2 linked regions of the Drosophila melanogaster genome follow. Changing the gene in region 1 together with any one later gene gives a genetic interaction. Each region holds a gene or a part of one and is shown on either strand. Other genes may lie near its edges.

Region 1 (5,954 bases):
TTAGATACTTGCCAACAATCCGCGGGGAAAGCACTGCCGCCAGGGAAAAGTAGAAAAGAAAAGTACGGTGAAAAACCTGAGCGCTCAAAGGCAGCGCTTTTGTGTAATCGATTTGAACCGGAAGCAATTGGGTTGCCGCAGTCTCAGCGGCAGCGGGAAAAATCCTCTCAAGATGCAGCTATTTTAAATATTTAGTGCACGAGACAGGCGAGGGCACAATCACAGATACACGCACACACGACGCACAGCAATTCGATTCAATCACATGCGGCGATGCTAACAACAAAGCAAATATCGGTCGCCAGATATATTGACACCATATAGAAAGGAAAATAAAATGAGAAAGTTACTTCTAGAGATAGTCTACATATAATAATTAGTTCCCTAAAAAGTTCAAAATGAAAAACTTGTTAACAAATCATTTTTCATTTGTTAAAATTATTTGCTTAAATATTAGTTTATAAATATTCTTTCTGAAAACAGGAAGTACCCTAGGACTTTAAGTCGGTTTCTGTCACCTTCACCATGTATCTCACCTAAAATGTATCTCTTGCCTTCACCAACACACTGCCCACTGGCAGACTCATCTCCCACACAATTTCGCACATTTATTGTAGTCTAATTAAAAGTCACGCACTTTACGTGCGAAAATTAAAAGGAAAACCGTCGTTTTAAAATAAAACCAACCGAAAACGACGAAATCAAAGACAACGCGACGTATTAGTAATGTGACAAACAGACAGCCAACAAAACAACAATTGCGTCTAGGATATTTTTAAAATGCGTCAAACAACCAAAAAAAAAATATATATATATGTGTAAAAAAAGAAGGAAAACCGTCAAAAAAAAAAGAGAAACAACAAGAATAACAACAACCTGAGTAAAATACGCGACGATTTTCTCGTTTTCATTTTGCCTTTTTGTTGCTCGCTTTTTAACTGAGCGGTGTACCTAAAGCTGTTGCCATGTGCGATCGTGTGTGTGCGTCTCTAAATGTATGCCGCACATTATGTGGTCTAGTGTTCACGCTTAATTAAAACAAACGCTACATTTTTACTGAGTTTCCCGCATTTTCCGCCTTCTTTCGCCGACTTCGGTTGACTTTATATTCCGAGTGTTATGCGCCACTTTTGGGCAAAAAGAAAAACAAACCGCAAAACTATTTACGCACGGCCATAAAACTTTTTTCTTTTGCATGCGATAAGCTTTATCTATCTACGAATTATGATCGTTGTATTTCAAACTTTGGCTCCACTGGGCTTGCTGCCCCATCAATCAGGCACAATTTGTAAATGTGTCACAGGCCCAAGCGAAAAGTTACCCAACTCGTGCGTTTCAGAACTAAACCTGATAATTGGCTGGCTTTATGACATCTGAAGTCCGAAGGCATGCACGACAGTCTCCGGGGAAATATAAATTCCACGCGCAACTCTTTTACTACCAAAATATAAATTTACTTTTCAATTAATTCGGGACTGCCCATGCAATTTAATCACTTCAATTGGTTTTTCTGCATAAACTGATGTCTTAATGTCTAAATTTACGGTGGTCTTTTCAATTATTCAATCGTTGACGTAGCCAGAAACCGTTTCGTAAGCGGTACTAAACAATTAGCCAATTATTTTCTTTGCCCTTGGGGGATATTCATTTTTTAGTTGATGAAATTGTGACGTGAGAACTTTAACGGCAAAGGAAATAAAATTTGATCGGCATTTGAAGAGGCACAATTCAATTATGTATAATTAATGTATGAATCTTTATCGCTTATTTTTGGTTATTAATAAGTTATACAATTAGAATTAGAAGATAAGATTTATTATGGCTTATGTAAGTTAGCAAAAAAGATTAACTTGATTATAATACTAACTAATAGCCCTTATTGCTGGAACAATTGTAAACCAATAAAAAAGTTATGAAAGGAAAGTAAAAGGTAATAAACCAAAATTTTAATATTTTCCCTAGACCCCAGATAAGTTTGAAAAATGACCAGAAAAAATCTGAAAATACCAAATAGTTAATAGCTTCTACAAATAATGACCCTGATTTGAGTTAAGCACTCTTCGCTGCCATTAATTTTGAAGGATATCACCCGCTAGTCCACACAGCCGAAATTCATTCAGTTTATTCTTTATCGCGATCCCCATATTTCGCACTTTGTCTGTCGCTCGGCTGTCCAAACTGTGATCCGGCATGTGATTAGCAGTTGTTGAACCCGACGCATACTAGCGTGCGGCAATAACGCAAATTCGCACACAGATACAAAATACAGATACAGATACGCAGCGCAAATCATCCGCAGGAAGAACAAGAACAACAAGCCAGCTTAGATAATAGCGCACAAATGTTAGATAATAGTCAGCGCCGCCAATTTATAGGACAAAAAGTGCACGCGCAGAGTGAGCAGAAAAAAAGTTTATTGCGAAAAAGTTAGCGAAATGAGATTAAAAGCGCCTGCGTGCGTTTGCAAATAGAGATACGCACAATTCGCATATACGCAGATACAGATACATTTCAAGACGGCGATAAAGATTCGCAAATGTATATGCGTTTTGCAAAAAAAAAAACTATAAATAATCCCAAAGATCGTGTGCTTAAATTTATATGAATTTCGCTTTCATAGAGTGGGTTCTCCTAAGGTCGTTTGCTTTCACCGGTTGGCAAAAAAAAACATTTTGCTACATTTTGTTTGCTTTACCAATTGTTTATTTGGGGCAGATAAACGCGGAAAAGTACTTGGAAAAACTAGGCTGCAAATCAAATTTAATTCGCTTATACCTAAATGCAATCAGATTACGTTTTAAGTGAATATCATTCTGCACAGGTATTGATCAATCAAATCAAATATGAACTAAATTATTTCAATTAGCATGCCACTAATATAAATTAAGTTTTTGCCCATTTGCTTTAGCTTGCTATTTGTTTGTTGAAATCAATTTATTTCGTTTTTATACATATTGCTATTTAATTACTTTCCCTCGTGGGTCATTTAAATACACTTATTACTCGGCCCGCTGCCAAGTGGAAAATGTTTTAAATTTATTTTGAAAGTTACCAAACAAATTGCCACATTTCAACGTATTCAAAATATTTTATTTAAATGCCCAACATTGCGCGACCAAAGAACACTGAAACTCTTTATAAATTTTAGTATTTCAAAACATCAAATCTAATAATACAGAAAAACATATATTTTTTCCGTTCGGCAAACTTGAAACTTTCAATAATTTTAGGCTTGCTTTTGCTAAGCTCCAAAGACCGAAATCCAATGAAATATTTTGCAACATTCGAACAAATACTTGGAGGAACAACAAACTTATTAAAAAAAAGAACTTATGTAACAGCGTTGAAACAGAAAATTACGCACCTAGGTTTTATGTTTGTTTGCTTTTTTTTCAGTTTTACGATTCTTTTTTTGGACGCGTTGTATTCTTCGTTGATTTTCAGAGAGTTGCACTTTGCACACTTTAAAACTTACGGCAACAACAATTCAACATTTTCATAATTTTTTTCTTATATTCCTTTTTCAAACACAGCACAAATCATATATATATATTTATTTTTTTATATATTTTCCGATCTTCGAATTGCTCGCATCTAAACGATTTTTTTTTTTTATTGCGGGCTTTTCAAATTGTAACGACTCTCTTGGATTGCGAAACGAACATTCGTGTTTCAAATTTCCTATCCGCCGAGATTATTGTTTCGATCTCCTTTGAAAACGATTGCACACAAAACCGGAACATCGAGTACGTTAAAACGGAGCGATTACGGACGCGATCACGATGATGGGGTTACGATTAGAGATGGTTAGGATGTGCCAGATGGATCGGATCGGATCGAATGGTAGGTCTGAAAAATTCGAAAACGCTGCGGATGCGGATAAGCGGACTTCGAGTGCTACTGCGACTGCGGACGCTCCGCTCACTGTGTGTTCCCCAAGCGTGCTAGTCAGAGACTGAAGCCATGAGCAAAAAGACCCTGTCGATGAGGCGACGCTTCGTGCGTTCACGCCGAGCACGTTTGCGACGGAACGAGCACGAGAGAGAGAGTGCGATGCGGTGCGGTTCGGCGGGAGGGAGACGGAGAGAGTGAGAGCAAGTAGTGGGCGAGTAAGGTAAACGCCAAGAATGGTGGTCGGTGGTCAGCTGTAGTGAATGGTGGTCGGTCGGTTCCCTAGGTGTGATATGGGGTTTATCTGTTATTCCCAATTCATCCTTCCGATCTGACGAAACTGCGGCTCAAGTGATTGAAACGCTGCCAACTCGTTGATTCATCATACATTAGCGTCAGAATCAAAAACACCGTTATAAAAGATTTGTATTTCGTTCGTTGCTAATTTATACTTTGTAGCTGAATAAATTATAAATTTTAATGAGTGGTTAAAAACTACTGTGTTACTAGCTCAACATTGTACTCAAACATTAAATGCAAAATATGAATCAATTTTTTTTTATTTTTTGTGTACTTATTTGTTGTATTTAGAAAATTATTTTTGGATTTTAAGTAAAACAAACAAATTCTGTTAGTGTTTGGGGTGGTTAACTGTAGTCATCTTAATCATTTATGAAGCCTACTTTTTCTTACTCTAAATATCTTAAACGGTTACATGGTAACTATCTAACCGAAAATTCTGAAATTTTTTGGGCCACAATGTAGGCTACAAGGTGTTATCTGTCACTAGAAAAACAACTTTCGAACATAAAGCTCAACTAAAATGTTCTATATATAAAAAAAAAAATATATATATATATATATATAAAATACAGTAGTCTACTAATTTTTGTTAGAGTTCTGTCACTATAATGAGCCCCCTAAGTCGACGGCGACAAATCACGTGACGGTTTTCAAACAGACATTGTGAAAGGGAGAGATTGCAGTTGCTTTTTGTTTTTGATTGGATTGCGTTTGGTGGCGGTTGTGCTTTTTGGCGCGTAGACCTTTTCCAGTGCTTTTGACGTATTTCGCCAGGTAGCGTGGACTTGCACAAATACCAATTAACTAACAACACAAAGTGCAACAACAAGCGTCACCCAGTACCCTTTATTATTCGGCTAAACATTGCCAGTGAATCAGTCGCGTGGGAAAGCCAACTCACGATAGGTGCTAATCGCATCGTTGTATTCGCACTGATAAGGTTTGAACTTTGACCAACTCATTTGCCTGTGGCTGCAATAAACCACAAAACCTATTTCTGACCAACCGAAATTTTTGCTAATTTTAGATGTTGACCAAAATTTAGCCCCAAAAATACTGTCACACGGCAAATTTAAAAGTTAAGGCAGCTATGCGCGAATTTCGTTGAATACAAGTTTATCTTATCTATTTAGAAGGCGCTTATAAAAAATCACATGGTGCAGATACCCATATGTGTGTATGAATGAACTTCAACTTGACACTACAGAAATTGCAGAAATATTCCGGGGTAGTCGCCTACGTCATTCTTGATGACAGCGTCATTCAGTGGGTGGGTGTTGCCGGTGGAAAGTGCGGGCTTGCTACTGATTGGCAAAGTTTTACATTGTCGCTAAGACTATATAACTGCTATAAAGTAGCAGTTTTGAGAAGGCAATGTTGTTTATTAAAGCCATAAAATATTGTTTATCGTGTCATCTATCGTGTTTGGTACTTACAATTTTTTGAAAATATTTGTTAGATTATGTTGTGTAGAAATGATTTATGAAACATATTAAGAATTTTGTGGACTGCGCTTTTGCTTGTTTAGAAATAGTACCTATGTAGATCTGTCCAAATTGTAAATTTTAAACAGTTTGAATTTAGAATATTGAGTTTAAATATATCACTTGAAGCGCGAGTAAAGCCATGCTAAAGTTGCATACTTCGAAATAAGCAAATTTACTTAGACCCTGTGTTTAATTTAGTTTTCAAATGTATTTCTAAATGCTTGCTCGTAAGTGGCCTAAGTGATTTCGCCAGGCCACAGAAAAAGGGTTGCC
Region 2 (6,355 bases), on another chromosome or scaffold:
TTATGCAATTGTTTTTCGTTAGAAAAGCGGAAGTTCCAAGAGTTTCCTTGCATTGCTCCCTTTCTGCATTCAAAAAAAAAAACATATATTAAAAAACAGTATTATAAATAACAAAAAAAAGGAAACACAAGAGTATGGTTACATTTAAATTTTAGCAAACAAGTTGTCGAATTGAAAACTAAAAACAAATATAAAATATGAAAAAAACCAACAAATTTATAAGGAAAAACACAGAACAAACAGGAGGACTTTCGGTTCGAGCCCTGGCAAAAAGTTAACAATGTTATTTCGATCTTAAGTTGGTTTCCTTTGACCTTAGGTTGTTTGTGTTCGAGGCACAATATTTTAAAGTACAATATTAATGTGTGTACCTTCGTTGCGGGGAGCAGGGAATGTATTTTCGTAGCTAGTTGGTGTGCCTAGTTTTAATGCATCTATCGATACAAAACCCCATCCATCACACTCTGACATGAACAAGAACAGCAAACACAAGTATATTAACTTTACTAGCAATTAAACAACATCTAGTTTACTCAAAGCATATATGATTTCAATATTGTTTTCCACCAATCGAGCCAACGTTACTTACTTTTCTTATTCTCAAATCTTAAGGTGCTCAGCATAAGGACACCAAATGAGTTTTTCTTTAATATAGAGATATTTTTGGAATACCCCCGCATAAGTTCCTATATTTTTATAACAGCTTAGACACGATCGAAGGTCCGATTTCTGGATTCATATGGTAAATCACATCTCCGCCTAGTCCTTTGAAACTTGACTTTCACGCGTCACTCAGGCTGCTACTTGGAATTGAGAATTCGACAAACGCCTTTGCATTATAGTGTTCGATGAGATCGGCAGATCCGCGGATCGGTGAGAATCCGAGAACCAACATCAACGTTTCCATGGTTTGTTACATTAATTTTAGGCAATCAGGTTAGACAAAAATGTCCTGGACAAAGGGACGCGCGGAGGGATGGAATGTTTGTTTGTGAATGCTTCTCTTCGGTTTCTTACTTTTGCATAACGGACAGATATAAGACTTTTTGAAGAAAAAAACCAAATATATAAGTACATTTAATGCGATTGTTGTTTGTTTTTAGTTATATACACCGCCACACTCGCACACAAAACACACACACCGATACATGCATACATATATATACTACTTAGCGGTATATGTACAAAAACGTAATCAAGCATTAGTGAAATGTTTCGACCAGTTAAAAACCACAAATTAAATTTATTACATGAAAATCAACTAATGTGTAAACGCAAAAACGGCAAAATCAATAAATAAAAAATGGATTAAACTAAGCCTAAATTTAGTTTTAAACATTTAATATATTGCAACAATAAACCGAAATGAAAATAAAACTCAAATTCAAACTTGAGATGCAAGTGTTTGTAATTGGGCTCCTGGAACTCAACATATTACATTAAATATTTTTAATTTTATCTTTATTTATTGTTACTTATCATCATGAATGTACTTTTTAAATATTTACTGTAAAATTGCATTTTACATAAATATTTTACATTGCGTAGAATGTCTAGTGCTTCAGTGAAAACTAGCGCCCGCTGCTTTACGTTCTTAACCACAGTTCCACGCGTGCGCAGCGCCAAAAGACAAACAACGTGAATTGGTGAGTGCGGGATCCAAGTGGGGGGAGCTCGGAGGAAAGGAAGCTGGGGGGAGTCACCCTTTACCATGGCGGAAAGCACACAAGCACCGTCCGTCGGTTCGTCCGCCGATCCACACGACACAGCGCTGATTGCCGCGCCGCCTGGCGAGGTGAGGTTGTAGGAGCCCGACTGAGGTTAACCGAAAGCCAGGCCGAGAGAACGGAACAGAGAGCGGCGGAGGCTGCGGCGGCACGGCAGCTACTTGGCGTTTTCGATTGTGGTACATGCACAACTATTTTACGTATGTATGCCACACGGAGAAAAAAATCCTTCATTTCACAGTGCTAACAATTCGAGTTGATTTATTTGATTTTATGTTAAATATATGCAATATTCGTAAATTTTTTTAATATTTAATCATACAAAGTGCTTTAGTGATTTAGCTTGTGTATAGGAAACCTATCAACAGTATTTTATATAAGAATTAAGAGTTGAACTATATTAATTATCTGAACTGCTTAACCGCGGAATAGTTTTCAGAAAGTGCATCTTTGTATCCAGTAATTTTTTGCAGGGACTTCTCTTGGCATGCGGTGATCTCGGTCTTTCTCTCCACCTCTCTCCCGCTGTTGTGTGTGTTTGTTTCTCTACCTGATGCCCGATTGCACTACCACTTTCACGCGGTTTACAAGCCGAATGACAACAACAAAAACAGAACAACAAGGCGGCGAGTTCGAAAGCGAAGTAGAGTGAACCGAGCAGCGAATTCGAATTTTCGACGATGAATGCAATGCCGCAGCACAGAAATAAACGCAAAGTCCGGGAGATACGAAATGCAGGAGCGGTTTGCCCGTGTCGAGGGTGGCTGTGGCTCTCTTTCTTGCCCTCTCTCTTTCTCTCTCTTTTGATCTGCCATCTCCCTTCGCCGCAAGTGCATGCTGAAGTGGAAGGTTCGTTGCCTAAGTCTTTTGTACCTGCCTGCGTTTCGGCCTCTGCAGGTGCACCCACACACACACACACAGATGGAAGCACTGGGCTACCTGTGTTTTAGATCGCACTTGTATGGGTGTTTGGGAGTGTAGAGACAACATCATCGATTCGAATGAATTTGAGTGGCGCTGCGCTGCCGGCGTCGCTGCCGCGTTCGCTCAATATCAGTTACGAAAGAGATGAAACCATAAAAAGCAATAATAATCGAGCGCTCTCTAACCAGCGCCGCGAACACAGACATCACCTTGCCACCAATACAACTGCACGACGACGTCGGCAGAGGTGGCAGCAGCGGCGGCAGCAGCACATTCAACAGTTGAACAATCTCCAATTGACTCTTTGGGCATTATAGCCAAGAGCCGAGATCCAGCGACAGCGACGACAAGTTTTCCGCGCACACGGAAAGTCAGCAAGTTAATACACCGAAAATATATAGTTTCAAATCCGACTAATCGTTTCAAATCGAAATTACCTGTGAGTGCGCGTGTGTGTCGCGATATTTGCGAAAAATCCAAAAGTTTCTACGCCAAACAAACAGCAAAAAGTCGCGCTTAAACTTTTTCGAAATTAAATAAAACACACACACGAATTTCAGCCACGAAGAGGAAGAGAAGGCTGAAAAAGCGAAAAAAAACCTCGTGTGTGTGTGCGTGTGTGTTGAGTGCGAGAGTATCTGTGTGTGTGTACGTGTGCATGTCTCTCGGAGAGCGTGAGCTTAAAGTGTGCCTGTGTGTGTGCGCTTGCGAGCTGGAATGAGACGCCATCAAAGCTGAGCAGCGAATAATAAAATGCAAAATAAAAATAGTGATTAATAACAGCAGCCAGAACCAGCAGCAATAACAAATGCTAGTGCGGAAAGCGCGTAAAAAATAGTGAAAATACTCATAGAAAAATAGAAAAAACAACAACAAATTGGCTTGAAAACGCAAATGCCAGGCGCAACGCCCCCGAACCGACCCGCCCCCTCAACTTTTGCGCCCTCCAGTAGCAATAGCAGCAATATGAGCAGCAGCAACATCAAATGTTAGGCCAAAATGCACAAACCGCCAGCAACAAAGGCAGCACCAAGCGAACGAAACAACAACAGCTCCACATACCACAAAGAGTGGCACATTAGAAGCGGCCAAAAGCAGCCAGCCGAGAGCATTGTGTAAGCCAAAGGCCCAGAGAGCCAGGCTAAAAGCCCCCAGACGCACAACAACAACAACAACAACTAAAACAGCACAAAGAGTGGCGAAAGGTGCACCCACCAGCAAAACAGCAACAACGGAGCAACCAACAACAGCAGCAGCAGCAGCAGCAGCCACATTTCAGTTACAGCTCCAGACTCCCAGGTTGCAGACTCCCAAAGCAAACAGACTCCAGTCCACGATCCAGCTCCAGTTCCACCGATCCGATCCACTGCTCCAGCGTGCTCGAGTGCCATAGATCCTCACCAAGTGCCAAAATCCGCATCCTGATCCCAAGAGCTCAAGGCACCCCGGCCCAAAAGTGAGTAGTACTTAGCCTACCAAGAAGTAATTATAAACGCATCAGGCTATGTAGCCCTGGTCGGTTCATGGAGGGATTACACCGTCAGAAATATAGCACCCTATTGACCATTTGGTTTTCGGCTTATAGATCCCTTTTTTCGGGAGATTCCATCACAATAGCTGGTATTCCCAATAAAGAGAGCAATAAAAGCGGGCATTTTTTGGGCACTACTAGGGTGTAGAAACTTTTCAAAAATAAATATTTTTCAAAACTTGATATTTTTAAAAAACATATGGTATTACCAAACTATAAGATATATTTTAGCTAGATTTATACATAGTACGTCAAGTTGATTCGATGGAGTTAATAGAAAAATGGTAATTGGATATTATTTCGATATTATTTGACAACGACAATCTCATAGAAATATTTTTAAACAATTTTGCTGGAGATGTAGGCATAAAATCCATTTAGTTCGTGCGGTTTTAAATTAAAATGCATTCTGCATGTTTTTTTAATAAGTTTTATTATATCTATACGGCTAGGCATTTTAAATGATTTCAAATGTATTGAAACTAAACGATTTCATTACCCTGCTGGCCAGTGTTGCTTTTGAAAGCCTTCGTTCACAGTGGACACCCTGTATGTTGTGCAGACGTAGCCTAAGTCTCTTGGTCCCAGCCTCAACTCGTGTTGTTGTTGTTGTTGTTGTCATTGTTGCTGTTGCTGTTGCCGTTGTGTTGTTGGTGGTATCTTTCGCGCACACATTCCTCTTTGTTTGGTTTTATTTTGTATTTCGTATTTCGAAGTGGCCGCTGCGCAGCGGCAGCGGCAGGTAAGTCGCACAGGTATTGGTATTGCTGTCATATTGCCGTTGTGCTCCCAACAATACCTTGCTAGAGCGGGAGAGTTGGCCATAAAGAGCGGTAGCGAGAAGGGATCAAGACGCCTCTGTCTCGGTCTCGGCCTCTGCCTCTGCGTCGACGTCTACTGCGCAGCCTTCTTGTTCGAAAATCGATGATGTTGCCCAGTGTTTGTGATTACGTTTTCCCCTGGACTTTTGTGCTGCCTTTTGCCTCTTATGTTCTCAGCTTCTTTTTATTATGATTTTTATTTTCTTTCTTTTTTTTTTTTTTTTGATTTTTTCCCTTCTTGATGATGGTGATCAATTTGGGGCTGCGATTATGGTACAGTAAAATGAACATCTACGCAGCACTCACACCGCCAGACACACAGATACATTCAGCCGTGAGATACACACGCACACAGCGAAACAGGCACATGTAACCCACACACAAAAAAAAGGGGGAACTTCGTGAGAGAGTTATTTTATTTTCGTGTTCGTGTTAACGTTTATTGTTTTTCTTTTCTTTAGCCTTTCTTCGTTTCTTCGGGACTTCTTGACTCCGTCTTGCAGCCGTTCCCGTTCCCCTTCGCGCTCGCCACCCCTGCCCCATCCATGCACGCCTTTATTTCCCTGAACATTCCCAAATACACGGAGAGAAAAGGGGATGCATTGATGGTGATATTATGAGGATTTATTTATGCATATAATTATTCTTAAAGAGGCTAAGAAGTCAAAAGCTAAAATAAAATCGTTTCAATGAGTTTCTATATCATCAGATTAATAATATAACTCAAAGTTTTGAATCGACATGGCATTTCTTGCCGTGTACCATCTACCAACTCTCCAGTCTCAGTCATTGGTTATTGATGCCCAACAACTCTGACCGTTGATGTCTTAGGGTTACGCTGCGCATTTCTTCTCTTGTCTTTTCTCCACCTCTCCCATCTACCCCTCTCCATCCCCCCCCTACATTCACGCGAAGTAAGGTAAAGATACGTAAAATCCAAATTTCAAATTATGTCAAATCTTAATGGGATTTGAAATGGAATTGCTTTCGGTATTCACTGTGTATCTGAAATCGGTGGTATCGGGGGGAATGGTGATCGTGGTTTGGGGGATAATAAAGAACGAATGACCATAGATCTCGTTGTAGGCGTTGTCTGTATGCAAAGGTTAGATGGAGGGCTTATTTTCACATGTGGTGACTTCCAGTCGATAAAATCGAAGAAAATTAGTAATGATTGTTTTGTGAGAAGGTTGATTTACTCATATAGTGATCATACCTGCATAAACCCCAGGAAGCCAACGTAGGTAGATGTATTAGACTAGATTTATTTGTTTCGACACTTATATTGCAAACACACTGCTCAAGGAAAACCGACTGTTAATTTATCAAGGTTCTATAGTTATAAATATGCA

Evidence for each region. A genetic interaction does not mean that the proteins touch.
Region 2: of bnl (region 1) and grh, changing one suppresses a phenotype caused by changing the other (phenotypic suppression), as found in Drosophila melanogaster (one study listed by BioGRID).

The regions. Positions count from the first base shown.
Region 1 is NT_033777.3:19,832,898-19,838,851, forward strand, and holds the start of bnl (branchless), read right to left. Parts: upstream 3,921-5,954; 5' UTR 3,365-3,920; intron 1-3,364.
Region 2 is NT_033778.4:17,799,285-17,805,639, forward strand, and holds the start of grh (grainy head), read left to right. Parts: upstream 1-2,961; 5' UTR 2,962-4,107; intron 4,108-6,355. UniProt on the Drosophila melanogaster protein: Transcription factor that binds a CNS-specific regulatory element of the Dopa decarboxylase (Ddc) gene. Also interacts with sequences adjacent to other transcription units, including Ultrabithorax (Ubx) and engrailed (en).